Daphnia pulex: one gene and its partners. The protein of the gene in region 3 purifies or fractionates together with the protein of the main gene of each other region. This does not show direct contact. Links are inferred from orthologs where the notes say so. Each region holds a gene or a part of one and is shown on either strand. Other genes may lie near its edges.

Evidence for each region.
Region 1: the proteins of crooked neck-like protein 1 (region 3) and peptidyl-prolyl cis-trans isomerase E-like purify together in Homo sapiens (affinity purification with mass spectrometry; 3 studies listed by BioGRID and IntAct, counting the BioPlex papers as one, with this or other methods). This does not show direct contact. The link is inferred for Daphnia pulex from reciprocal best matches to the Homo sapiens genes CRNKL1 and PPIE.
Region 2: the proteins of crooked neck-like protein 1 (region 3) and ATP-dependent RNA helicase DHX8-like purify together in Homo sapiens (affinity purification with mass spectrometry; 3 studies listed by BioGRID and IntAct, counting the BioPlex papers as one, with this or other methods). This does not show direct contact. The link is inferred for Daphnia pulex from reciprocal best matches to the Homo sapiens genes CRNKL1 and DHX8.

What each region holds. Positions count from the first base shown.
Region 1 is NC_060020.1:8,628,986-8,633,687, reverse strand, and holds peptidyl-prolyl cis-trans isomerase E-like, read right to left. Parts: upstream 2,750-4,702; 5' UTR 2,451-2,749; coding exon 2,414-2,450; intron 2,350-2,413; coding exon 2,177-2,349; intron 2,100-2,176; coding exon 1,692-2,099; intron 1,633-1,691; coding exon 1,445-1,632; intron 1,381-1,444; coding exon 1,245-1,380; 3' UTR 1,159-1,244; downstream 1-1,158. Other genes in the region: uncharacterized protein LOC124191929, read left to right, coding at 325-352, 426-667, 745-847, 943-1,076. UniProt on the Homo sapiens protein: Involved in pre-mRNA splicing as component of the spliceosome. Combines RNA-binding and PPIase activities.
Region 2 is NC_060022.1:2,535,609-2,541,034, reverse strand, and holds the start of ATP-dependent RNA helicase DHX8-like, read left to right. Parts: upstream 1-1,968; 5' UTR 1,969-2,100; coding exon 2,101-5,109; intron 5,110-5,173; coding exon 5,174-5,426. Other genes in the region: merlin-like, read left to right, coding at 1-63, 137-266, 337-468, 532-783, 844-1,160, 1,223-1,382, 1,441-1,491.
Region 3 is NC_060026.1:11,198,780-11,204,333, forward strand, and holds crooked neck-like protein 1, read right to left. Parts: upstream 3,283-5,554; 5' UTR 3,192-3,282; coding exon 3,141-3,191; exon of another isoform or gene 3,138-3,140; intron 3,082-3,137; coding exon 2,992-3,081; intron 2,930-2,991; coding exon 2,711-2,929; intron 2,649-2,710; coding exon 2,428-2,648; intron 2,364-2,427; coding exon 1,915-2,363; intron 1,855-1,914; coding exon 1,547-1,854; intron 1,455-1,546; coding exon 1,230-1,454; intron 1,167-1,229; coding exon 970-1,166; intron 900-969; coding exon 713-899; intron 637-712; coding exon 376-636; 3' UTR 338-375; downstream 1-337. Other genes in the region: probable maleylacetoacetate isomerase 2, read right to left, coding at 3,697-3,823, 3,888-3,990, 4,087-4,291, 4,391-4,471, 4,568-4,635, 4,694-4,745, 4,803-4,811; myosin-2 heavy chain-like, read right to left, coding at 5,434-5,481, 5,550-5,554. UniProt on the Homo sapiens protein: Involved in pre-mRNA splicing process. As a component of the minor spliceosome, involved in the splicing of U12-type introns in pre-mRNAs.

The DNA of each region.
Region 1 (4,702 bases), on a different chromosome or scaffold from region 3:
ACTACGCATGATTGTCGTCGAACCGACCCGTATCAGACAATGCTGCTGGTGATGGTAATTTTTATTATGTATATTATACAGTGAAGTCCTGCTGCGTTATTGACGACATCAACCTCACTGAAACAAATAATACGGAAAGATGGGGGCAATAGCAATACTGTGTCCCCATATGTCAAAACCCGTATGTCATCCGCATGATGTAAAATTAAAAAATGGAAATGGGGAAAATCCTTTATAACACGGTTAGATGGTAGTTTTGCGTTCAGTTGTCACGCTCAGTTGTCGCAGTTGGACAGAGATCAACTTATTCCTGTTACAGTGATCATGTATCGAGAGCTAATAATGATAAAAGGTTTTTATATTTGAATTTAATTCTTGCTTTACAGTACAAAGTGAACCAACTAATGTCGTTTTGTTAAATCAAGGACTGTTTTTAACGTGGCTACTGCTGGCGTCTGCCTTATCAGATCCCAGCCCGGAACCGTTTAATCCGAATTATAATAGGTTTCGACAAAAGATTCCTCGAATCGGCCGACGAGGTGAAGGAATCATCGCTGAATACATGAATTCAGAATCTTTTCCTCACGAAGGAAGTCTCTCTAATTTTTTTCTGAAGGCATCAAAGGCGGTTCCTCGTTTGGGTAGGCGCAAGGATATTTCCACGGAGGTGTGTAGTCCACAGTAGACGTAAAAAATCAGATAATTATTTCTAAACTTAAAAAAAAATATATATATCTTTCGAAGTCTGGTCGGGCGGCAATGGTTGGGGAGGAACCTTTTGGCCGTATATCCAATGAAATTCCCATTATGAATCAGAAGCAAGATTTGTGGCCTAATATGAATATTAGTAAATATCTTTTTTCATTCAAATACCTTACAGTGTCTAAAAAATGTCAAACTTGGGAATTTCCTGTAAACATACCAATTATTTTACTTGTTTAGATGAACTAACAGGCGCATTAAATAAAGAATTGAATTATCCGGGACCGCGGATACCCAAAGACCTGCAAGACAATTACATCCAAGATTTGATTCATAGCTGGATCAATCAATATGAAAATCTCAACGAAAATTAAAGGACCCATGACGTTAATGTTTTTCTTTTGTTTTTTTGTTTTTTTCCGGGAGGGAAGAGGGTTGGAATATACTGTAGTCCAATCAATTTGTTTGTTTATATTTTTCATGAGCACAAGACATTGGTCATTAAACAATGTAGTTAAAAAAAAGCTTCTTTTATTCATGTGTTACAATAGTTCTCCACAGGCGGACATAATGACTTTGTCAGTCGGTTTACCAGACTTTGTTCCGTACTTCTCCACTTTACGTAAAACATCTAGGCCGGCAAGAAGTTGACCAAATACGACGTGCTTGTTATCCAACCTTTGAAAACATAAAGGTGCTATTAGCATTATAACTATGATATTTTAACAGGGAAAAAACCTACCATTCTGCTTTGTCAAGGGTTAGAAAAAATTGGGATCCATTTGAATTTGGGCCTGAATTCGCCATAGACAGAATACCAGGACCGTTGTGCTTCAACGTAAAATTTTCGTCTTCGAATTTCCCGTTTCCACCGAAAATTGATCGACCACCGGTTCCATCACCGTTAGTAAAATCACCACCTTGACACATCTTTTGCAAAAGAACGTTAATAAAAATAAATATTGATTAAAACTGAGCTTTCCGCTTACAAATCCTGGAATAATACGATGAAAACTGGAATTCATGAATCCATAACCTTTTTCATGAGTGCAGAGAGCAAGAAAATTTTCAGATGTTTTAGGGGCGACATCAGCTCTCAATAAAATAATTATTCTGCCCAAATTGATTTTTCCAGCTTTAAGATCCATGTACACTTGAGGGTTGCCGCGAGGCTTTTTAGAAACTGCTGACTTAGTTTCAGATTCAGAAACATTGTCTTTCCCTTCAGTTGATTCCTTATTGTTTTCCTCCACTGGATTTTTATTTTCTTCTGTCTTTCCAGCATATTTTTGCAACCAAGAATCCTCTGACCAAACTGGTCTAGAATATCCTTCCTTAATTTTCCGAGGTCTTGCAATGTTTACAGTAATTGTTTTGCCAAACAACTCAGAATCATTCTGAAAGAAAGGCATCCATGATGGCAAGTAATTAAATATTTGTTTACTAGATAAACTGTAAGAAATTGTGAGAATACCATGTTATCAATTGCGGCAGCAGCATCTTCAGCTAGTTCATACTCAATAAAAGAGAAACCTCTATGTTTTTCATGATTTTCATAATCTGGAGGTATTTCTATATTAACAATTTCTCCGAAAGGAATAAAGGCTGCACGCACTACTGATTCATCTGCCTCATCAGGAAGGCCACCTGTTAAAATGAATCACAGTAAGCATTACATTTCGTAAGACTGAAATATGTTATTTGATCTTACCGACATAGATGTTTCGCTTGGCATTGTTAGATGACATGTTGCGGCACAAATTTGAATGCACCACAAGAAAGATTATCAAGAATCGAGGTTACGTGTTCAAAAACTTTACGTAAAGTATTGAAATTCTCAATGTTCAAAGCATCCCCATAAGCTAATGAGTAATATATAAATATCACTGTCTAAACCTTCCTTATTATTATGCACAGTGAGGACAATAATAAAATACCGATTCACAGGTTGCAGACTAATCAAACTGAAAACTGGCGTGGGCAAACAGTCAAACACGTTCGTCAGAGTGCAGAGACTGCAGACAGCATGTTTCGCTTCGTTATACGATCAGTAGAGCTAGAACCAAAGTGGCTGTTCCGCTTTTTAGCGACTTTTTGGAGATTTTTCCAAATTCAAATAGCCCATCAGATTATTTTATTTGAATCAAAATAAATTCAAATAAACGCAAAATAAAAAGGCTACTCCAAAACTAGTAAACTTGTTGCTTCTTCGCTGCTACTTTAAGGTATCTGATGGGAGGATCGCGGAATTTTTTTAAAATTGAGACTAAAGCACTAAACCAAAAATTTAAGAAAAATTTAACGGACATCGACGTGAATCTGACTGTTGGTTTTGCCAGTGATATAGGAAAAATATACATCTCTCTGGTATATAATAACTACAACAAGGAATTGGATCTAATAAATCCATTGACATTAACCCGCGGATTTTATCTCAAAATATATAATATTTGGGCCGATTTTCTTTAACGACAAAAGAGATCGCATAAATTTTAGAGGTAGATCTTAATAACGCGCACTTCTTTTTCGTTGACGTCTGGTTGTCTCAAATGCAAGTTCCGCATTTATTTTCAAATCTTTCTCTTTGTGATGAATAGCGTTTCAGTTATTCAATTAAAACCGAACCTGTTTTTTCACACTTCCGTTAAGGGATAGTGTACCTGCGTACGAATAACGGTTTTCTTTTTAATTAATTTGGAAAGTTAAGGGCTTAAGGCTAGGCTATCATAGAAAATGATTTATGTCAAGTAAAAAAATTATTTAGACGTATCTACTGCTACGTCTCTACTCTCTAGGCTTGGGGGAAGGCAACGTCCTTTTTAATGCATTAGGGAGTGCTGGATAGCATTTAGTATAAAAAGAGCTGTCAAGCGACAAGCATTAGTTCGTTCACTTCGTGGGCATAGCGCCTCTAGTGGCGTGCATTTTGCCCTAGGATCCAAAAGATGTACTAGAAATCAAGCACTTCCTGGTGCGTAAAGGGCTACATCTCAAACCATACATATGAAAGCGGACTAGCCACTTCGGATTCAACCCACCCGTCCCTATTCCTGTCACTGTCAACTCATAGTCGTCTGATCACTCTGATGTAAACAAAATGTGTAAAGTGTAAACTCAGTAAGATTTGAAGTCAAGTGTAAGCAGCCGTAAATTTCATTTTAACCAATTGTTTCATCTCTATTCGAAAAGAAAACCGCCGTGAGTTTATTGAAAAACTGTGAGAATATGAATGTGGTATAAAGTTGTGGTGTTAAATTAAATATATTTCCATTATAAAAAAACATGGGACGAACATCTAGAATCCGAAACAGGTTGGTTCGAATTGTGCATTCTCGCCCACTTCGGATTGATTCACATTCAGAATTCGTTGAACTTTGTAAATGGATGAGTGCGAATGGTTGGAATGCTGTGTCAAAAAATTGTTTAGTTACAAAGCCAGCTCTGTTTAATAGCACTGGACGAGGTCTCATGGCTATGTCTAACATAGCTCCTAACCATCTGCTAGTCCAGATCCCCCAAAGTCTTCTTATCACTAAAGAAAAAGTTTTGGCAGAGATTCCTGACTTACTACAGTTCAGTATGACTACAGCAGAATGTCTAACTTTCTTCATTTTGAACTCCAAGTTTAATGGACTGTACTCTTCATACATTTCAACATTACCAAAGAGCTTCTCAGTTGGTGGATTGTGTAAAAGCCAAGAAATAGCTGTCCTGCCCAGCTTTCTTCAAGAGAAAATAATGTGTAATCAAAACTTTGTCTTAAAAAAATATGAAAAAATCTTTGCAATATGGAGAAAGATATACGGCTCAACCCTCTCACTCGAACTTTTCCAGTGGGCTTGGTTTTGTGTCAACACAAGAGCAGTCTTTTATCAAGATTCTAAACAACACTCACATGGATTGAACAAGGTGGATGGAATGGAAAATAACATGGCCTTAGCTCCATATTTAGACATGTTTAATCACGACGCAGAAGTAGTCGTTGAAGCTGGTTTTAACA
Region 2 (5,426 bases), on a different chromosome or scaffold from region 3:
GAGGAAACCGGATTCAATTGAAGTTCAGCAAATGAAGGCTCAGGCTAAAGAAGAGAAACTCAGGTAAATTTGACCTTGACAAGTTTTGTCTTATTCATTGTTGAGTTCTTATTGTGGTTACTTTACCGTTTTTCAGACGACAGAGTGAAAGAAATAAGCTTGCACGAGAGAAGCAACTACGCGAAACAGCTGAACGTGAAAAAGCAGCCCTAGAACAACAGTTAATTCACTTTCAGGAAGAATTCCGTGTAGCGAACGAACAGTTGGTATGATATTCTTCAGTTTAATTTTTAGTTTTAGTATCAAGTACAGTATTTCATTATACCAATTTTGTAGAGGCGTTCCGAAGAGTCGGCTGAGCTGCTGGCCGAAAAGGCGCGAGTTGCAGAAGAAGAGTCAATGTTGTTAACTCAAAAAGCCTCAGACGCTGAACAAGAGTTGCAAAGAATTCGTTTATCTGCCATGAAAGTAAGTGAATTTTTTCATAACTTATTTAGGTAGCTTTACATTTAATTGTCTTTTTGCGTCTAGACCGAAGAGGAAAAACTTTTGTCTCAGAGACAATTACATGAGGCGAAGCAAATTGCCTCAAGGTTATTAGAGAATTCTGAGCGTTGTGCAGCAGAAGCAGAGCAGCTAAAAGGTGACCTTTTGCAGGCCCGTTACGCTGAAACTCAAGCCAAAAAGAAGCTACTAGAGTTTTTAACAACACAAGCTAGTGTTGCAGCCTTACACTCGGCATCTCGTCCAATTACACGCATCCCGTCGTCCGCGTCTGTCCTGGTACTTTGCAGTTTCTGTCAACATTTTAATGAGCGAATAACTACAATTACCATTTTTCAGTCTGTTCCCAACTTGTTTCCGACATCAAGTTCGTCGGTAGCTGGATCAGACCACCATTTACATCATCAGTCGGACATTCAGCAACATTTACGACGACTCGACGATGTCTCTAACGAAGCAAGTTTGCCGGCTTATGAGGCCCGCCTTCCTATTCCGCTGGCTAATCAGCTTACTGGCCTCACCAACTTAACTGGCTTAAGTAGTAGTGGATATCTATCAGCTATTGCTGCTTCCGAACTGGTCAACTCTTCATCCAACTATGACCTTATGACACATGGCGATATGGAGCAACTCTCACTTGAAATTGAGAAAGAGAGGTTGTAAATCTATCGTAGGAATTGTTGCGTAATTGTTTGCTCATTTTTTAAAATAAATTTAGAGTCGAATACTTGGAAAAATCGAAGCAACTGCAGGAGCAACTGAGAGAATTGCGTACAGAGATTGAAGTCTTGAAAGTAGGTGAAAAACAAACGCTTTACGATCAGCTACACGAAGAGCAACTCCGTTCAGGGGACGACAAATACTCAACTCTCAAAAAGGTACGCATGAATGAGAGTCATTAATTCAAATTTGAGTTAATTTTTCTTTTTTTCCTAGTCAAAATCTGGATCGACTGGAGCGCGCGTGGCCTTTTTCGAAGAGCTGTAGCTTAAGTCATATTTTTAATTTTACTTTTGACAATGTGTTGTACATAAATTTTAAATTGGCTGACCATTTTCATGGATGCAACTTAGTTTATAATCTTTAATTCACTAAGTTGCCCATTTTCGTGAAATCTTATCATCATAGACATTAGACAAATAGACTTTCATTTAAAAAAAACTTAACTCTTGTTGACTAATGAGTAATGTCTTTTACTAGTAGCAGCATCGGCGTTGTTTACATTCTTATATGAATTTTGCAAAATGAACCTGTATGTCTAGAATACCAATTCAATATGAACATGGAAAAGTTTCATTCAAATTCAAACACAAAATGCAGAGAACCGAGAAAGATTAGATAATTCTTCATTTCAATCTGTGAAACGCAAAAGTTAACAAATTCATTTCGAAAAAATGTAAATATTTTTTGCGCGCAATGTTGCCAGTTCATCTATTAATTTTGATTTTTCTTTTACAGCATTCTTGCAACGTTGTCTTAACAACGAAAGCATTCGTTTTTTCGTCGGCTCGTCAATTTCCACATTCGTCGCCATCCCAATTGTTGTGCTGTCAATTTGTAAATGATTTAATAAGTGGCAAAATATCCTATATCATCATGGATGAATTAGAGAAACTCGAACACCTGTCGCTTGTTTCTAAGGTGTGCACAGAATTGGAAAACCATTTGGGACTCAACGATAAAGATCTGGCAGAGTTCATCATCGCATTGGCCGAAAAACACAAGACCTTTGATGAGTTCAAAAGTGTAATGCTGGAGAATGGCGCCGAGTTTTCAGACTCTCTCATTGCAAATTTGCTTCGTCTTATCAAACACATGAAATCAGCCAACTCGAAAACAACTGATGTGAACTTAGCCCAGGTAAAGAAAACAGTTTACAATGCAGAAACAGAGAAGAAACGGGAACTCTTCCCTGGTCTTGCCTTAGCAGATAACCCTAAGGCAAGAACAATGCTTCTCGAAGACATAAAATTGACTATTAAAGATGTTGAAGAAGCTAACGATTTAATGGCTGAACTAGAAGCCATGGCTCCTAAAGAAGAAAAGATTTCTACTGAAGCAATCGAGCCTGTTCAGGAAAGAGCAAGGAGTAAAGACAAGAAGGAAAGAAGCAGACGTTCAAGAAGCAAGGACCGCAGCAGAAGATCAAGAAGCAGAGACCGCAGCAAGAGATCCAGAAGCAGAGACCGAAGTAGAAGGTCAAGAAGCAGAGATCAAAAGAGGAGATCAAGAAGCAGGGACAGAAGTCACAGGTCCAGGAGTACAGATAGAGGAGATCGAAACAGAACAAGTGATCGTCATCATGATAAAAGAAGTAACGAAGGCAGACGAGAATCCCCAAGTCGAAAGAAACCTCAAAAAGATTTTCCAGAGAATCCAGAAGTGGGAAATGTCTACGCGGGAAAAATCATGAATCTTGCAGCTTTTGGTTGTTTTGTACAAATTGAAGGAATACGGAAAAAATGTGAGGGTCTAGTGCACATCTCCCAGTTGCGACGAGAAGGCCGTGTGAATAGTGTGGCTGAAGTTGTCAATCGTGGAGATAAGGTTCATGTCAAAGTTATGAGCATTGCTGGCCAAAAGATCTCTCTTTCTATGAAAGATGTGGACCAAGACACTGGCGAAGATTTGAACCCAGCTCCTTCGACGTCAAGCCGCCCTGGACTAACCAGCCAGGAAAGTGAAACAGCTTTAAGGAATCCAGATCGACCTCTCTCATTGCTAGATTTGAAGGCAAATGTAGAGGAGGATGAACTAACCAACCGCAAGCGTGTGCAACGGATTTCGTCTCCTGAACGCTGGGAACTGAAGCAAATGATGGCAGCAAATTGTATCGACAAAATGGACTTGCCCGAATTCGACGAAGAAACGGGTTTACTGCCAAAGCTGGCCGAAGACGAAGAAGATATCGAAATCGAGTTGGTGGAAGAAGAGGCACCCTTTCTTCGAGGTCACGGTCGAGTGCTTAATGAACTTAGTCCGGTTCGTATCGTCAAGAATCCCGACGGTTCTCTAGCTCAAGCCGCCATGATGCAAGGCGCTCTCAGCAAAGAACGCCGCGAACAGAAAATGTTGCTCAGAGAAGAACAAGAAGCAGCTGACGCACCGGCTCAAGGCGCCAACAAGACCTGGATTGATCCCATGCCGGATGCTGGGGCTGCACCGTCAACGTCGTTGGGTCGCGGAACGGGAGCCCCTGTATACGACATGCCCGAATGGAAAAAGCACATCACTGGTGGACCGAAAGGAGCCTCTTTCGGCAAGAAAACTAGTTTGTCCATCGTCGAGCAACGTCAATCACTTCCCATCTACAAACTCAGAGATGAACTGATCAAAGCTGTCAATGACAACCAAATCCTAATTGTCATCGGTGAGACGGGCTCGGGAAAAACTACGCAAATCACTCAATATCTATCCGAGTCCGGATTCACGGCTCGTGGAAAGATCGGCTGTACGCAGCCTCGTCGTGTGGCCGCCATGTCCGTTGCCAAGCGAGTTTCGGAAGAGTTTGGTTGTCGTCTAGGACAGGAAGTTGGATACACGATTCGTTTTGAAGATTGCACCAGTCCTGAAACTTTGATCAAGTACATGACGGATGGTATGTTGCTGCGTGAATGCTTGATTGATCCCGATCTGCAATCGTATTCCTGCATCATGTTGGACGAAGCCCACGAAAGAACTATTCACACAGACGTTCTTTTCGGTCTTCTCAAGCAAGCCGTCCAGAAGCGAGCCGAACTCAAACTCATCGTAACGTCGGCCACTTTGGATGCCGTGAAATTCTCGCAGTACTTTTTCGAGGCGCCCATCTTCACCATTCCGGGTCGAACTTTTCCCGTCGAGATATTGTATACTCGGGAACCTGAGACGGATTACTTGGATGCCTCGCTCATTACCGTCATGCAGATCCACCTTAACGAACCACCGGGCGACATTCTTCTTTTCTTGACTGGTCAGGAAGAGATCGATACTGCCTGCGAAATTCTATACGAGCGCATGAAGTCCATGGGCCCTGACGTTCCTGAGCTCATCATTCTTCCCGTCTATTCCGCTCTACCGTCTGAAATGCAAACTCGAATTTTCGAACCGGCTCCACCAGGCTCCCGAAAAGTTGTTATCGCCACCAACATCGCCGAGACCAGTCTTACCATCGACGGTATCTACTATGTCGTCGATCCTGGTTTTGTCAAGCAGAAAGTCTACAATTCCAAGACCGGAATGGACTCTTTGGTGGTGACACCCATTTCACAGGCGCAAGCCAAGCAGCGAGCTGGTCGCGCCGGTCGTACTGGACCTGGAAAGACTTACCGCTTGTACACGGAGCGAGCTTATCGTGATGAAATGCTTGCCACGCCTGTTCCCGAGATCCAGCGTACTAATCTCGCTTCCACTGTCCTGCAACTCAAAGCTATGGGCATCAATGACCTGCTCAACTTCGACTTCATGGACGCTCCTCCTGTGGAGTCACTTATCATGGCACTTGAACAGCTGCATTCCCTTTCCGCTCTAGACGACGAAGGATTACTCACGCGTCTTGGTCGACGTATGGCCGAATTTCCTCTGGAGCCTTCTCTCTCCAAGATGCTCATCATGTCTGTTCACTTGGTATGATATTATCAACAATTGTTCCTGATCGATGTAATTGACGTTTTAAAAATTTTTGTTTTAGATGTGTTCGGACGAAATTTTGACAGTCGTGTCCATGTTGTCAGTTCAGAACGTCTTCTACCGACCCAAAGATAAGCAACAGTTGGCTGATCAGAAGAAAGCCAAATTCAATCAAGCCGAAGGAGATCACATCACTTTATTGGCCGTTTACAATTCCTGGAAGAACAACAAGTTTAGCAGTGCCTGGTGTTACGAGAATTTCGTTCAGATGCGTACCTTAAAACGAGCTCAGGATGTTCGTAAACAGCTATTGG
Region 3 (5,554 bases):
ATTGATAACTGATTCCCTAAAATTGGAATTCAATTATTTTTCTGAAAAGTTAAACGATTTACTATCAGTAGGGTCAGAGCTATAGAATACTCTATAGTATATAGTATTCTTATGGTGTATTAGTACTAATACACCATGGTATTATCTATAGAATTCTATATGGTAGGGTTTTCGAAAATGATTTTTATCCGTAGTAACCACAACGCAGAGCTGTAGTAGTGTCAGTTACTAGTGTTACTATAGCTTTAACTTAATGAAACAAATTTATTGTTAACGATTTGAAAAGGAAAATTAATTTTATAAGACCCTCAAACTGATATGTACGATGACACTCAAATCATTTTTTAAAAAGTGTATTTTCTATTCCAGTAGTAGCTAATCCTTATTTTCAGATTCACTACTAGATGATTCACTCGAATCATCGCGATCGTCGGGGACTGTGGACAAGGACACTGGTGGTAACACAGTGTCAGCCAATGGAGCATTGCTTTTGGGTAGTTCCTCTTCCTGGTTTGATGGAGCGGATTCTTTTGCCATTTTCCAAGCTTTGGCCATAGCCAAGAGCTTAAGATTGGGTTTAGTAGCTTCATCCTCGGGGAAAATGTAGTCGAAATACTCTTCCCAACCAGCATCGGTCTAAAAAAAAAAAGAAAAGAAAAAAACATTGCAACGCACAAAATTTTGCATCTAAACGCAAAATATTATCACATACCCCATCTTGTGTTTGGATCCGCCTCCTCTTCTTCACACGTCTAGGCATCAAGTTAACAACCGCATTGCGAGATCCCTCATCTCCATATTCATATTCGAATTCTTGCCAAGCCTCCAACAACATCAATCGCTCCTCTTTGTTGGTAGCCACTTCAAGACCGACTGACTGAGCTATAGAACGTAGCGACCTAGTAACATAATGGGGAATTAAGAAGGTAATTTACGGAGGCTAATAGTTCAAAGCAAAGAAATGCGAACTTGTTTGCACGCTGGAAGACTGCTCTAGCTGCTGCGACTGGCAAACTTGGGTCCTCCTGCTGAGATGCTGCTAGAGTGAGCTCAAATTGAGCAAAACTCATCCAGACTTTTACGTGCTGCGTGCGTTCTAGAAGTCTCTCATATAACGATCGGGCTTTATCATTCTCCTCTTGTTCGATTTCAAAATCGATGTAAGCCTGAAGAACAAACACAACTCCATTAGGAATGAGATCTGTGCACATATTTAAAGTTTAATTTACCTTCCAAAGAATTTCTGGCATATCTAGTAGAGGCTGCTTGATGGCAAGCTCGTAAATGCCGCGAGCACGATCCACATCTCCCAGTAAAGTTTCTAGTTCGGCGAATTTCATCCAAGTGGTGCAATTTTCTGGACCGTTTTGGAGGAACTTTTCATACAATGTCCTGCAGCGGTCAAATTCTCTCAGCTGGATCTCCAAATCAATATATCCACGGAACAACTTGTTCTATAAATAACCAGATTTATTAAAAACTGGTTCATAGACTGGCCTCTAATTAGATTTCATATTTGAAAGAAAAAATACTGAAACATATTTACCTTTGGACATTTACCAATCGCAGTACCTAAAATTTTACGCGCCAATTGCAGATTTTTCTGTCGAACTTCGAAATGGGCGTAAAGGAGCCACATTTTGGCGAATGTGAAGTTACGATGCGGAATGAGCTTAAGACATGAATCGTAGACCTGTCGAGTTTTTTCATAATCTTCGGCTTCCAGTTCTTCGAAAAGTGCATAGTTAATCCACAGATAGATGTAACGACGCCAAAAGGACTTCTCAGCTACTAGCGGGATGTTGGCAATAGCTCTTTCGTATGTATCTCGCACTACTTCAACGTCAGCGTCACCTAAAGATACAATACACATTCGACACAATTCCTTAAAAATTTGATAGTAAGTCAAAATACCTTCACTTTCCATTAGGCGTAAATAATCAAACCATGCATCATAATTTGATGGATTTTCTTTAATTTCTTGTTCATACTGAAATTTTCTTTTACTGACAATAACGTCTTCTATAGCGTCACGCTCTCCAAATTTTTTCTGGTGAATTGTGTAGGCTTTGTACAATTCTGCTGCTTTATCTTTTGACATGTGTTCGAGAGCAAATTTGTAAATAGCAGTTGCTCGTTCATGTTCTTTTTGGCCCTCTTCAAACTTGGAAAAGGCTATGAAAAGCCTTTCGTCCATGTGATCATCACCATAAAAATCCACCGACCGTTCATACACCTGGCGGGCACCGATAATGTAACCGTTCCTTTCTTCAAACTTGGCATACTTGATCCAATTTTTTACTTCCGGGTGCACATAGACAAACCGTTCAAAAATTGAGCGAGCACGATCTAATTCTTTATACCTAGTTATTGGACAAAAATTGGACGTTGATAAGTGTAACGTTAGTATTTACTACATTTATTTACCTTAATTCAAAATTGATGTATGTTTGCCAAGCTTGTTCATCTGGCTGCCATTCCATCCACCTTTCAAATACTTGACGACAACCAGCTATATTGGCCAGCATTTCCTCCATGTAGGTATATTTATACCAAAACTGATTTGCTCTAGGCAAAATTGTAACTGCACGGTCCCACAAGTTTCTGGCATGATTGACTTGCTTATTTTTCATTTCCATTTCTGAATACTAAATTTTTTTAAAATTAGATATTTATTATTTCACAGATTTAACAAATGAAAATTAATTACCTTCAGCCAAAGGGTAATGTTACGATGGTCTACATCAAGAGCACGCTCAAAAACACTTCTGGCTCTTTGAATTTCTTTTTGGCTTTCTTCCCATTGAGCATACTTGATCCAGTTGGTAATAACATTACGATTACGCCGCAGAGCATCTTCAAAGGTTTTGCGTTTCTTGTACTGGTAGTCTGCTAACTCATCGGGATCTGAAATTTTTTGTTTAGGGGGCTAAAAATAGAAAATTTCTTACTTCAGTTCTTCAAGTTGTTATCTATTGCCGAAACACTTACTGGTGGAACAATTTCAAGATCACGTTCCTTAGCTTCCCGAAGCAACTGCTCAGCAGTGATTTGAATTTCTGCCGGTGTTTTGTTTTTAACCTAAAGAGAAATGTGTTATAAGTAATGTCAAGAGCATTCTTACATTTAAGTATTACAACCTTGGCAACTTTAGGAGGTTTTTGTGGTTTACCGAATCCACCCGAATCCATTTTAGATTACTTTTTAAATGAGCACTTGTAAAAAAAATAAAATAAGGTTTTAACAGATATGAGTCTATGACTGACACTTGGTACTGTAGTATTGAACTGACACGAGCAAGTGATGCTTCTTGCAGATTGCAGTTGCGCGAGCGCGACTCGTACGAACCGAACAGACGACGAATCGGACGTTGCCAGATTGATTGTTTACCAGCTTTCAACAGGTTTTTTGAAAGATTTTAACCGGATTTAGCACTTTTCAGGTTTCAGTTTTACAGGAATACTGGAATACACTCTATTTATTCTATAGTTTCAAGACATAAATATTGCAAATATCTGATAAGTGATAATGGCAAATTTTGTTTATTTTTCAGTAAATATCAAACAGCATAACAAGTTCCATTGCAATTCATTCTCCCGTATTCGCAACCCATCGACCAAATTATAATCATCGTTTAATATCGTTATTCTATGGACTGAAGTCCGACTATTTCACATCAATTTTTTTGTTTTATTTTCATGCTGAAAGTTCAGGCGGGCAATCTGGTTGTCGGCTCGGGTGAGCCTTTACGAAAGGCTCAAGAACTTCGAGATTCTTTTCCACACGAGCAATATTAGGAAACTGTGCCACGTCCACATCAAACCTTATTCAGACGAAGCGTGAGAAAAAGAGAACATGAAACGAATCATGGAAACTTTAGTCTTTACCTCCTTGCATTGTACAGTTGTGGGATAAGGCAACAATCAGCCATTGTAACATCATCTCCAACACAGTAATTTCCACTGGAAGTTTCTAATATTTTTTCTAATGCTGTAATAAAAAATTGGGTTTTTATATAAACTTTGCACATATTTCTTAGAGTTTATTAATTTTTTTATTGATATATTCATGAAGATCTTCACCTACCAGTGAGTCCTTTGAAAATCCACTTAGCAGCCCAATCTTTCTGTTTAGATTCTTCAAATTGTTTAAGTACAGCCAAATTCTGTAAGGGTTGAATCCCAGAACCAATAATTTCACATATTTCTCTCACTTTGAATCTAATCACACCATCTTTTGGCAATAAGGGTTTTAAAGGATAAGATTCTTCTAAATATTCCAAAATAGCTACCTAAATGTACAGGAGATGGAAGTAAAAATTATGCATTGAAATTTGAACTGGAAGGTCTTATATATCTATAGTGTCATATTCATATAGTGTCCCTCTTACCGACTGAGTGAAAACTTTGTCCCCAATTGTTAGTGATGGAACTTGAGCCATGGGGTTTATGATTTTATAGTCATCAGCATTCTAAATACATAGAAAAATATGCCAGCGGTATTTTAGCTATTTATATGGGTTTAACTGTGAACATTGTGATGATTTAATAATTTTAAAATTTAGTACCTGCTGACCACCTCCCTTCACTAAATGAACAGCTTTGTATTCATATTCAATTTCTTTAAATTCTAGAGCTAAATAAATACTTTCATGTAAATTAATCTTAAAGATATATTTATTTACGTTTTTTACCTATACGCACTCTCCATGAACACGAACTTCGAAAATATGAGTATAGTACAACCTAAAAACGAAAAATTGATACAAGAGCTTTTTATAAAACTTATTTTAATTGAATTACCGTGCTCATTATTCTATCTACGCTATCACTTGTGAATGTCAACTTTAAAGCAGTCGACTACTCAACCTGACTCAACTACCCGAACGTAGTTTTGGGGGATTACAAGAAAGAAAGCCTTGAGGGTCAAACAGACAAACAAGCACATAGGAATTCGTGACGATCACCTTCGGGGATTCGAATGTAGCGGCACTAGACCCAACCTGGTCCTAGACGCTAGTACGCATGACCTACTATATTTAACACAGCCGCGGCAACTTCCTTCTGTTTAAAATTTGAGCGAAACCAGTTTTTTTCATATTTGCGAACGAAGATTAGGAAAGGGCTTATTGTCGAAAAACATAGTACATCTTTGTCTGAAAACAGGCGCAAGGTTTTTTTTTGTTAGAATAAAATAATAATCTAAATTTAAGTTAAAGAATTTTCATTTAATTTAGTAATCAATAAAAATTTCTATAATCAGTTTTCTTTTATGTCAATATCATATTTCTTTACAAATTATTATACATCATGTTTTCCAAAAGTATTGATCAAATACATCACATAAGCAGGCAATGAAACAAATGCAAAAAAGTAAAAATCCATCTCAATAATTAAGGCCCACAAAGTGTTCCAAGAGGTTTCCTAAATAAGTTCATTTCAATTCCCGTAGTGTTGTACGGATAGAGCTAGGTGTGTTCTGCTAAAAACTATATAATTGTTAAAACATCAGTATTTAAGAGACTAATAAGAGGCATATCGCATATTTACTTCAA